2 linked regions of the Saccharomyces cerevisiae S288C genome follow. The protein of the gene in region 1 binds, or shares a complex with, the protein of each later gene. Each region holds a gene or a part of one and is shown on either strand. Other genes may lie near its edges. A codon is read from its position in the direction of its gene.

Region 1 (5,820 bases):
CGAGAGAGGATGTTATATCGGTAGGAATTTCTCGTATATGTGGGAAATAAGAAACAAGCGTAATTCTCTCAGCTGAACAAGAACTGACTCCCATGGTATTTTTTTTTTTCTACTTCTTTTCTTTTCCCTGAATTTGCGGGATAATATAGTTCGTGCACTAAGGACAATATTACGGATATTTCCAAAATTGGATAATACCTCTCCTTCGTTACATAGAACGCAGACAGATGTTCGTGTAATGGTACCCGACACTCGATGAGACTTTGTTATTTTTATACGCCTGAAATTAGGAAGAATTTGAGTTGGTTTCAATATTCCTCAGTTTTAAGCAAAACTGTTGTCGTGATTTATTTAAATTTCGTTAATGAAGTTGTGAATTAGAGTGGGATGTGTTATAAAATGTCCAAATATACACGATAAGATATATGAAAAGAATTTTTATGCCAGTCACAACTGTGTATATACTTTGTCGATAATAAGGTGTACCCTGCTTGCTACGTTTACTTTTGTTTATCATCTTCAGTTACGTCCAAATTTACGGTTTCTTTGCTATCGTTATTGTCGTCACAATTGTTTGTCTTATTAATATGCTCGTTGTCGTTATCGTCGTCATTATCTTCATCAGCATCCATGTTCTCAGCTACTTTCTTCAATCTTGCTAACTTGACTAGCGGGGCCAATGAGGAATTGGCTTCAGCTATCTCCGTGATATATTCATCATGAAGCAATTCCGTAGCGCTTGCTCTATCTTCGGGCTCCACACATAAACACCAATCAAGGAATTTTTTCAAGCTTGACGATAGATTCTCGGGTTCCTTTAACTTGGGTGTACCATTTGTAGCAATTAAATACAGTGCTCTTAGCGGGGTTTCATTTAAATATGGAGGCTCCCCCTCGATCATTTCAATGATCATGATACCCAACGACCAGATATCTACTTTTGGGCCATATTCTTTCCTAGAAACCACTTCAGGCGCCATCCAATAAGGCGTTCCCACCATAGTAGTTCTTTTCAAGTTCAATTCATTGATTTGAGCGCAAAAACCGAAATCCGTTAACTTAATATCCCCTTCCATGGACAATAGGATGTTATCGGATTTGATATCTCTGTGAAGAACACCTTTAGAATGTAAAAATTCCAACCCACTCAAAGTTTCTCTACAAACGGCACCAATTTGACCTTCTGTCAAAATACAATGGGTGACCACATCAGTTAAGGAGCCACCTTCCATGTATTCCATAATGACCCAAAGGTCGCCTTTTAAAACGTAAGAATCAATGAAATTAACTATATTAGGGTGTTTGCTACCCTTCATGACCAGAATCTCATTGATGATTAGCTCCTTTTTTGGTTGCTTTTCGAGATTCATTTGCTTAATGGCCACTGAGACATTCGTACCTATTTCATAAGCAGTATAAACACCACCTGATGCACCTTGACCAATTTTTACTAAATTGGCATATTTTGTACTTGGGTCACCGTCTGAGCAAATTTCGTTCAATTTGGCATATAGTTGTTTTTTACGTCTTTCCCTTTCCTCTCTCTTTTTCTCATTTAATTCTTTAGACAAGCTTCTTGCTTGAGCTGGCTTCGAAGTAGGTGTCGTTACCGTCTCTTGCGCCGGCGCTTTTGGCGATTGAGCAACTTGCTGTGGTGTGTGAGCTGTGGAGATGATTGGAGACGTTTTGGATTTGGTTGGAGGTATTGGTGGTAGTGGCTGCTCCTCTTTTTTTAAAGTGGCATTTCTTGATATTGAGGACCTGTTTGGGCTGGTCCTGTTCGGAGTTGTAGGTGCATGAGTCTGCTTCAAGGGCGAAACATTGGCGGCAGAATTCATGACGGGTGATTTTATAATTGGAGCTGAAGCGGACGCAGAAGATGGGGGCTTAGGAGCCGGTCTACTTGGTATGAATTTCCCGTTTGCTGAACTAGAATCTGTATTTAAGGTTGGAGACATGACGTGATTGGACATTGGTGTACCTGTTCTGGAACCGTAATTGTGCGAATCACTTGTCGACGGAGGAAATTTATTGAATGAGTTTGCAGGCGGTGTTGAAACTTGAGGACTTCCCGGCAATCCTGTGGTTGTGTTGAAAGTCTTGAACATTTTATCTTCACCGTTTGTTTCCGTGACATCCTGATAGAATTTGACAATATCCATGACTGCTTGCATGTTTTGCTGTTGTTCTCTTTTGGAAATACCACTAGAAGTCAACAATTTTTCCCATTCCTCCGGCAAACCTGTGTACTCACCAGTCTTGGAGTCCACGCCCACATGGTGGATATGCTTGGCATTGTATGGCGTAGATATCCTCAAAGCGGTGGTTATAGAAGATGAGGAAGAATTATTGGACGACGATGAGGCCCTTTTATCATCCTGAGAATTTCTCTTTATATTCTGTACAAAGGACGTAAAGACATCTTTCATTCTTAGTGTACCACTATTTGAACCGCTTTTCCTTTTTTTCGAAGAGGAAGAATAATACGATTTTTCTGTTTGCTTTTTAGGTGGAGAGGAGTTTTTTAAAGGATTTTTCGAAGGAAAGCTTTTTTTCACAGAAACCGGTTTACTTTTTGCTTCAGGCTTGGACGGTTTAACTTTTGGTTTATGTTGCTTATGCTTAGGGTTCGAAAGCGAATGGGAAGCTGAATTGATCTGTCTTGGCGTGGTTGTCATCGATGGTTTAGAGATAACGGGAGTGGACACTGGTGTAGCCCTTCGTATATCAGTGGAGCTCTTATTCGAGTTTACTGTGGAAGATGCAACTGGCTGCTGGTGCTTCACTGTCGCGTTATTTTCTATAGTTTCTGTAGAATCTGTTAACGACAGTTTTGATAGTAAAGTGTCATTAAACTGGTGATCTGACTCGGACGCATTTATGGTAGAAAATGTGTTGTCAGCAGAATGATCCGGGGTTATATTGCTGGTATTTATGTTTGGAGTGACTGCTTCTAGAGATTTGGTTTCATCGATGTTAGAATGAGGACTCATGGATGAAGACATTCCACTGATGACAGAGGAGGAAGATACTCGGGTAAATTGAATAGGATCATCTAGTGAAACGACATTATTGTCATCATCATTGGTTGTCTCCGCGTTCTTCGCAGGATCCATGGATTTGTATCCACCAGCTTCATGGGCAGCATTAGTGCCTTTTTGTAAGGCATTGACGTTCAAAGTTCCAGTGGTCCTTGGTAATCGTAATCCATCGCCGCCATCGCCATTGCCGCCCATGGCCCTTTCATTGTCATTGCTGATACCGTTATCAAGACTGTCCTTGTCTGGTAGTTCCGATACAGCAGATGGATCATTGCTCATTTCTTGTATTAGTCGAGGATCTTGTGGGATATTTAGGATGGGGTGTGAGGCAGTGAAGGGAAGAAGTTTGGGTTGCTTGCTACCTCGCTCTAATTGTACGTACGGATGTATGTCTTTAAGAAAGTATGTAAGTGTGTGTAGTATGTGAGTATCTATGTAAGCATGCGTTGCTAATGCGAATTTACGGATGCCTCTTTTTGGTTTCGTATTTTTCCTCTCTGGCCAGGTGACTTTCTGAATTTTTCAGCTGCCAAAAGCGGTAGACTTTCGAATTCCCTCTCTTGGCCGTGTTTCGGGCCACGAGGCGAAAATTTTTTTTTTTTAATCGAAAAAAAAAGGAAAAAAAGATTAACGTTTCTTTTTCGTTCTATCGTCTTCTACGATATCGCATGTAACACAATGCAGCTATCTGATAATATGGTCCCAGAATCGCAATAGCCGGGCAGGCACGCTACTAGAAGGCGGTTCTGGATAGAATTCAACTTTAGATGGCAGACTGAGGCACTGCCGTAACACAAGGCTAAGTAGCCGCAGCTGTTGCGGTCCATCTTGTGTCGCGGTGAGATCCCACAATCCATAGACGAGTACATTAGAGTATTGCGGACCATTCGCCTGCGCTTGCATCCGGGTGAGGTACATGTATAAGTACTTTACCCGGCCCAAAAAAACTACGGATACCCGCTCCCGGCTTGCCACGTGACCTGCCACAGTGTTCGTAGTCACGTGCTCCTTCAGTCCTCCTAACTCTACGTACTTCCTGGCAGTGTCTCCAAGGACTATCACCAGTACGTTTGGGCTTGACTGATCCAGGCTCCAATCGCTTTCTACTAGCTGTTGCAACCGCTCTTCAAACTGCATATTGTATCCTGCTGCTGCTGTTGTTGCACCCGTTATTGCACCTGAGCATTAATATATGCGTATATGTATCTATCTATGTATATGTGTATGTGTAATATGTATACGTTTATGTTAATGCATAAACTGTAATGAAACGAATACTCACCCGCTTGCTCTCTCTCACGTATAACACACGCATACTGCCCTATTTTCCTGTTTATCTCGGTAAGAAAAGGCCGTGCCGGGTCAGAAAAGAGTGCAAGAAAAAAATCAATTCGGTAAGTGAATCCGAGAGATGAAATTTGTATGTCGTAGGTCACTGCTATATTTGATGGTAAATAATAATCAGTTCTGGCAAGTGTACATACGCTCGAGAGCCTGATTATCGCGGGGCACAAATACAGGTGATTCGAGAAATAAAAAGTGAGAAACGACTCTTTTCTCATGCAGAGACACGTTTTTGCGAGGAATTTCAGACGTCTTTCCTTATTGAGGAACCCTTCCCTTACCAAAAGGTTTCAGTCGTCAGCATCCGGTGCGGCCAACACCCCTAACAATAACGATGAGGTGATGCTGTTGCAACAGAAACTTTTGTATGATGAAATTAGATCAGAATTGAAGTCTCTATCTCAGGTACCAGAAGATGAAATATTACCTGAGTTGAAAAAGTCATTAGAGCAAGACAAACTCTCTGACAAAGAACAGCAGCTGGAGGCTGAATTGAGTGACTTTTTCAGAAATTATGCTCTGTTGAACAAGTTGTTTGACAGCAAGACATTAGATGGACAATCTTCTACAACGACAGCAGCAGCCACGCCAACCAAGCCTTACCCTAACCTTATACCTTCGGCCAATGACAAACCATATTCCTCTCAAGAACTTTTCTTGCGTCAACTAAACCATTCCATGCGTACCGCTAAATTGGGTGCCACTATTTCGAAGGTTTACTATCCTCATAAGGACATTTTCTATCCGCCCCTCCCAGAAAACATTACTGTTGAGAGCTTAATGTCTGCTGGTGTTCACTTGGGCCAGTCTACCTCACTTTGGAGGTCTTCCACACAATCCTACATATACGGTGAATATAAAGGTATTCACATAATAGATCTAAACCAAACTTTGTCCTATTTGAAGAGAGCCGCCAAGGTAGTAGAGGGCGTTTCGGAATCCGGTGGCATTATCCTATTTCTGGGTACAAGACAAGGCCAGAAAAGAGGGCTCGAGGAAGCTGCTAAGAAGACACATGGTTATTATGTGTCTACCAGATGGATCCCGGGTACTTTGACGAATTCTACAGAAATTTCAGGTATCTGGGAGAAGCAGGAAATCGACTCTAATGACAATCCCACCGAAAGAGCGTTATCACCGAATGAAACATCAAAGCAGGTTAAGCCTGACTTGCTGGTCGTATTAAATCCCACAGAAAATAGAAACGCTTTGTTAGAAGCAATTAAATCAAGGGTCCCAACTATCGCAATCATCGATACTGACTCCGAACCTTCTTTGGTGACCTACCCTATCCCAGGTAACGATGATTCATTGAGATCTGTCAATTTCTTACTAGGAGTCTTGGCGAGAGCTGGCCAAAGAGGCTTGCAAAATCGCTTGGCCAGAAATAACGAAAAATGAACACTTTTATTTTCTTTTGGCTTGTTAACCTAAA
Region 2 (4,897 bases), on another chromosome or scaffold:
AGGGAGCCACATTATCCTTTGACACATATGGAAGCACAAAAGCATATTTAAGAATAAATATGTTCAGAATTTTTCTTGTAGTCTCTTCTGAATTTTACGTCAGCAATATAACTTAAAATACCTATAATTCATGCATTATGATTGAGTGGAAATATTTGGCTTTTTGTACGTTTTTTTTTACATGTGGTGTAAAATCTTTCATATAATTCATTTTCAGGTGAATTTAAGCTTAGGTACCCAACTTTACATTTGAAGAAAAATATAAATAAAAAATATTTCCAAGTGGTCTAAAAAGTTTAAGCAACTTTCTATATACATATATGTCCTTATTTATTTTTATTACAAATCACGCTGTTTCGGAAGAATTGGATACCTTAATATTATTACTGTTCGGGAGAATCTTATTACTCTCGCAAATCATCATAAAGTTGATTAAAATGTTCAACCTATGTGCATCTGCCAAGTAAAGAAGAAAAATGCTTCGTCTTCTAACACTAGATTCAAATATCGTGAACGGAAATTTTCAGTTTGGCTTGGATTATGTTACTGACTTGTGAATCAGTCTTAATTTCCTCCCCGCTACCATCAAATAATTTGGTTTGTAATTTAAAATTATCTGTATCAATCCTTGGAGCGATTTTACTACGAAGTTCTTTATAGGTTGTGTCACCCTTCAGCATTAAAGCAAAAATATCGTCTTTGTAATAAAATTTAATTTTAGTAGTTTTCAATCCAGAAGTTGATTGGGCTGGAGCCTGCTTGGAGCCCGATAAAGATAAATCTGAGAGTTTCTTGTTTAACTTCAAGTCTTCGCCAGTTAAAGTGTTGTCTTGGTTAGTTGAGGCAAAATTAGAAGTTTGAGATGCTGTTGCAAAGGTTGCTGTATCGTTTTCTTGTAATGTTTTAATATTGTTTTGATTTTCGTCTCTTTCAAATTCTCTGTCGAAACCATTATTCAAAACAACGAATAAGGAATGCACCATTTCTGAGCGAGATATATAATCGGGAAGATTCACTAGGTCTGCCACATATATATTCAAGTCCTCCTTTCTTTTTTTTGTTATGCTATTGGTAACGTATGGAACGGGTCCAGGGATATAGGGCATTATACGTTTGGACCATTGTCCACCTGCATCCCTCAACTTACCGGCCTCTGCTGGGAACGCATCCAAAAGTTGAACCTGCAGATCGTAGAAATCTTGATAGTATCTTTTCAGTTGCCTCGTCTTACCGTTAGATAATTCACAGCAAACCAAAAACCAATACTTCTCATCTTCTAACCCAAAGGATTCAACGGATGCTTTCACTAATAATTCACCGTCAACCAGCTTTGCGCTTTTGTTCTGAGGTTTTGTAATGGATTGCTGCTGCTGCTGCTCCACAGAACCAAGGCTAATATTACTAGCTTTGTATCTTGCAATGTTGCTTTTCCATTCTTGAACAGTTGGTAGGTTAACTGACTTGATGTCTTCTATTACGTCGTTACCTGTTGCGTACCCCGTGGCAATATCTATGATGCTAACAAACCCAACAGGAACAAGGCCGGGCCCTCCAAGTCGACCAATTGGCTTAGCAATGAACCATTCACAGTTATGGTGGGCGCAAATAAACAAATTCTCTCCCACATAAGTTGTCAACTCATCAGCTTTTTCTGCCTTAAAGTCATATAAAACAATGGCGTATAACGATCCCATGTTTAATGAATCATTTGTAACCTTCCGACTTGAACTATTGGATCCATTCACAGAGGAAGGTTTAGTTCTATCAAACACTTCAAAATAGGTTTTGGGGACAACACCCTCTTTTCCAGTAGAAGGATTTGAAGCTTTATACCAATCCTTCTCATCTCCAGATACATAAAAAAATTCACCTTCCATGAAAGATAGTTCCTTTGAAGTTTGTGCCTGATAACTGTATTTGGCTTTTATAACTTTCTCTGGAGAAGTAATATCTTTAGAATTATGTCTGTTTTTTGGTGAAGAGTCCCGTTGGCTTTTCACTGGGGTGGAAGATGAAGAAAGGTACCTCACTGGTACTGTCTTAATATGCTTTATAACACTCCCATTATCATGAGAAGGTGTGGAAATATCTGCGGATGTAATTCTGCCCTTCGACCCATTACTATCTCTTTTTGAGAGTTTGAAGTTTTTCAGCATTTATATGGCTTTCTTGACAATTTCTTTTCACACAGTGCTTTCAACGTGCATCCATATGGGTTTAGTATATTAGTGAAAACATATGCTGATTAAGATGGTACATCAAATTATGGCTGTATTGTCACTTTCTTTTTTTCCTGTTCGTAAATGAATGGGGCCCTTCGCCATTTGTCCGTTTAGGGTAATATTAGTTAAGAAGCCGTTAAGGCCCGGGAAGAATGTCGAATAACAATAGATAAGAGATATTGTAAAGTTTTTGGATTTCGGTTTACCATATTGTATTGAAATGATTGAAAATATAACGACATTATAATTCCATATTATCAAGTGACATTTTTGAGGAGTAGCTTTCTCAAACCAATAATACCTTCAACAATACTATCTACTGGCTGAGAAACATTTCATTTTCCATGAATGTTCACCTGTAACATTTTTAGGTTGCTACATTATAAACTTTTCTTAATTCCATAATATATATCTATCTATGTGCGTCCTAAATTAAATCATAAAACCCCAGATGTGATGCCGTTCTCGAAAGCAGCGGCACAAATTCTCAAAGCTAATGTCTTCAATACATTTCTAACTCTTCCTCAGACATAGAGTGTCTTATCCAGGTTGCCTGGCAATTTTGGTTGTCTAGATCACTCCAAGGAGTGAATTTGCCTGGTACACAATTTCCATTACACCTATCTGAATCTGCTGGACAAGTTGGACAGTTCGTGTACGGAGTATGGTGATAACCTATATCCCTGAACCAATGGATGCTTGACTTATCCGCAAATAAAGCAAGTGCCAAACTTCTTACAGGGGCATCACCCCACCTTTCATAGTAGAATCCTCCCTTTTCTTCAAGATATTGCATATATTTTTCATAAGGTTCTGACCTCAAAAAGTCTAAATCGACTATTTCAAAATTGGTCCAGAAATGACAAGTTGAATACCCTTGAGTATAATCATAATTTTTTGGATTTTGAGAGTTATCTTTTAGCCATGCGAAGGCTCCGTTGACGTTCAAATAGTTTGGGTGTTCCTCGACAAAATCCATAGTTGAAGTCCATAGCGTTTCGATGGTTTGCGGACTATCATAGAGGTTCAAAACAAACCCATAAATCTTGTCATTCTTGTTCATAAATTGGAAAACGTCATAGTTAATTTTGCAATAGAAATTCACGTTTGGCTCTAATCTCCACACATATTTATATTTAGATAGCAGAGGATGATGGTAAAATTCTTTAGAATAGAAACGACACATGTTATGATAGGATTCCACCTCTGCATACTGAATGTTCTCTTTACTCATTTTGTCCATTTCTTGGTCGTATCTCTCCCTATCTATGCTATCAGGCATATTCCAGTTATCTGGACCAATAGTGCCAAATTCTACTACACGGTCCTTAGGAAGAATACTTTTTATTCCATCTTTGAATTCGTCAGTAAATTCCTCATCGTTAAGGAAGGTATAGGGATATCCAAAATTCTTATTGTACTCCTCTTCTAGCTGTTGAATAGAAGAAATTATATCCTCTAAATCAGAATTTCTCACCAAACTCAAAATAGTTCCTTTTGCCTTGCCGGCTAACGGATCCCCGCTACGTACCAAATTGTCCACCTTTGGCTCAGAAATTTCTTGAAGTAAAAACTCCTCGTACAACTGTTTATTTTCAGCAAGGACTTCATTCGGGTCAAAAGTGTCCTTTTCATAAAGGGGCTCGTGTAGCCTGTCCATTATGCTATCTAACACCTCAGCATCATGATCAGGAAGTTCATCAGCGCTTTCAGTTTTACCTGTAATACTTTTGTAGCTCTCCCGGAGAGAAGCATACTGGGACTTGGCACTATCCTTGACTGCTTGCAAATAGTTCTCATTCGCCGTTAAAAAGTAAAGAACAACGGTTACGGCAATCGATATTAGAATGATCACTGAAAGTACAGGTTTCAGTATCCTTTTTGAAAGAAACCTCATATCAGTTCGTATGGTTCACCTTGTTGGGTCTAAACTAAAAATTGTGTTCTGCTGTAACGGCCTATTGTATATTATACAGCCGTGCAACACCGTGAAAGTATCTGCATATCAAATGGTTCAAAATATTTCACTACATGCAGTTAGAGAACGTCTTATAGAGCTCGTTCCGTTGAATGGAATTCTCCCCTTAGCCGGGTAAAAGTAGCTGTAAATATCATCTTTTACGGGTTCAGATGAATTGTTCAAAAGCAAAAAAGTTTCAAGATTTCAAATGAAGTCTACAAAGTGGCAGAAAGAGCAATAAAGCAGGCATAAGGGTAGGAAAAGAGAAGGAGAAAAGATACGAGAAACTCCGGGTTCAAGTTGAGATACTTGAAAAATAAGAATGTCACAGAAGCAAAGTACGAATCAGAATCAAAATGGCACGCATCAGCCACAACCAGTAAAGAATCAACGAACTAATAATGCTGCTGGCGCCAATTCCGGCCAGCAGCCACAGCAACAGAGTCAAGGCCAGTCTCAACAGCAGGGGAGGTCCAATGGTCCGTTTTCGGCGTCAGACTTGAATAGAATTGTCCTAGAGTACCTGAATAAAAAGGGATACCACCGTACAGAGGCCATGCTGAGAGCCGAGAGTGGACGTACACTAACACCTCAAAACAAACAATCACCAGCAAATACTAAAACAGGTAAATTTCCTGAACAATCATCAATTCCTCCGAACCCCGGGAAGACAGCTAAACCCATAAGCAATCCAACTAATTTGTCATCCAAGAGA

Evidence for each region. The genes of interacting proteins can lie anywhere in the genome.
Region 2: the proteins of STE20 (region 1) and BEM1 are in contact, whole or in part, in an NMR structure (PDB 2RQW), measured with the Saccharomyces cerevisiae proteins. Residues at the interface, in NP_011856.1 of Saccharomyces cerevisiae: Asn467 (codon at 1,922), Gly468 (codon at 1,919), Lys469 (codon at 1,916), Phe470 (codon at 1,913), Ile471 (codon at 1,910), Pro472 (codon at 1,907), Ser473 (codon at 1,904), Arg474 (codon at 1,901), Pro475 (codon at 1,898), Ala476 (codon at 1,895), Pro477 (codon at 1,892), Lys478 (codon at 1,889), Pro479 (codon at 1,886), Pro480 (codon at 1,883), Ser481 (codon at 1,880); in NP_009759.3 of Saccharomyces cerevisiae: Tyr164 (codon at 1,667), Phe166 (codon at 1,661), Glu169 (codon at 1,652), Lys170 (codon at 1,649), Ala171 (codon at 1,646), Asp172 (codon at 1,643), His188 (codon at 1,595), Glu191 (codon at 1,586), Trp192 (codon at 1,583), Ile194 (codon at 1,577), Pro204 (codon at 1,547), Leu206 (codon at 1,541), Pro208 (codon at 1,535), Gly210 (codon at 1,529), Phe211 (codon at 1,526), Val239 (codon at 1,442), Gln240 (codon at 1,439), Lys243 (codon at 1,430), Ser244 (codon at 1,427).

The regions. Positions count from the first base shown.
Region 1 is NC_001140.6:94,618-100,437, forward strand, and holds STE20 (mitogen-activated protein kinase kinase kinase kinase STE20), read right to left. Parts: upstream 3,321-5,820; coding exon 501-3,320; downstream 1-500. Other genes in the region: SHU1 (Shu1p), read right to left, coding at 3,726-4,178; YHL005C (uncharacterized protein), read right to left, coding at 4,211-4,603; mitochondrial 37S ribosomal protein uS2m MRP4, read left to right, coding at 4,602-5,786. UniProt on the Saccharomyces cerevisiae protein: MAP4K component of the MAPK pathway required for the mating pheromone response, haploid invasive growth and diploid pseudohyphal development. Links the pheromone response G-protein beta gamma subunits to downstream signaling components.
Region 2 is NC_001134.8:618,131-623,027, reverse strand, and holds BEM1 (phosphatidylinositol-3-phosphate-binding protein BEM1), read right to left. Parts: upstream 2,157-4,897; coding exon 501-2,156; downstream 1-500. Other genes in the region: YBR200W-A (uncharacterized protein), read right to left, coding at 1-45; KTR4 (putative mannosyltransferase), read right to left, coding at 2,725-4,119; TAF5 (chromatin modification protein), read left to right, coding at 4,505-4,897.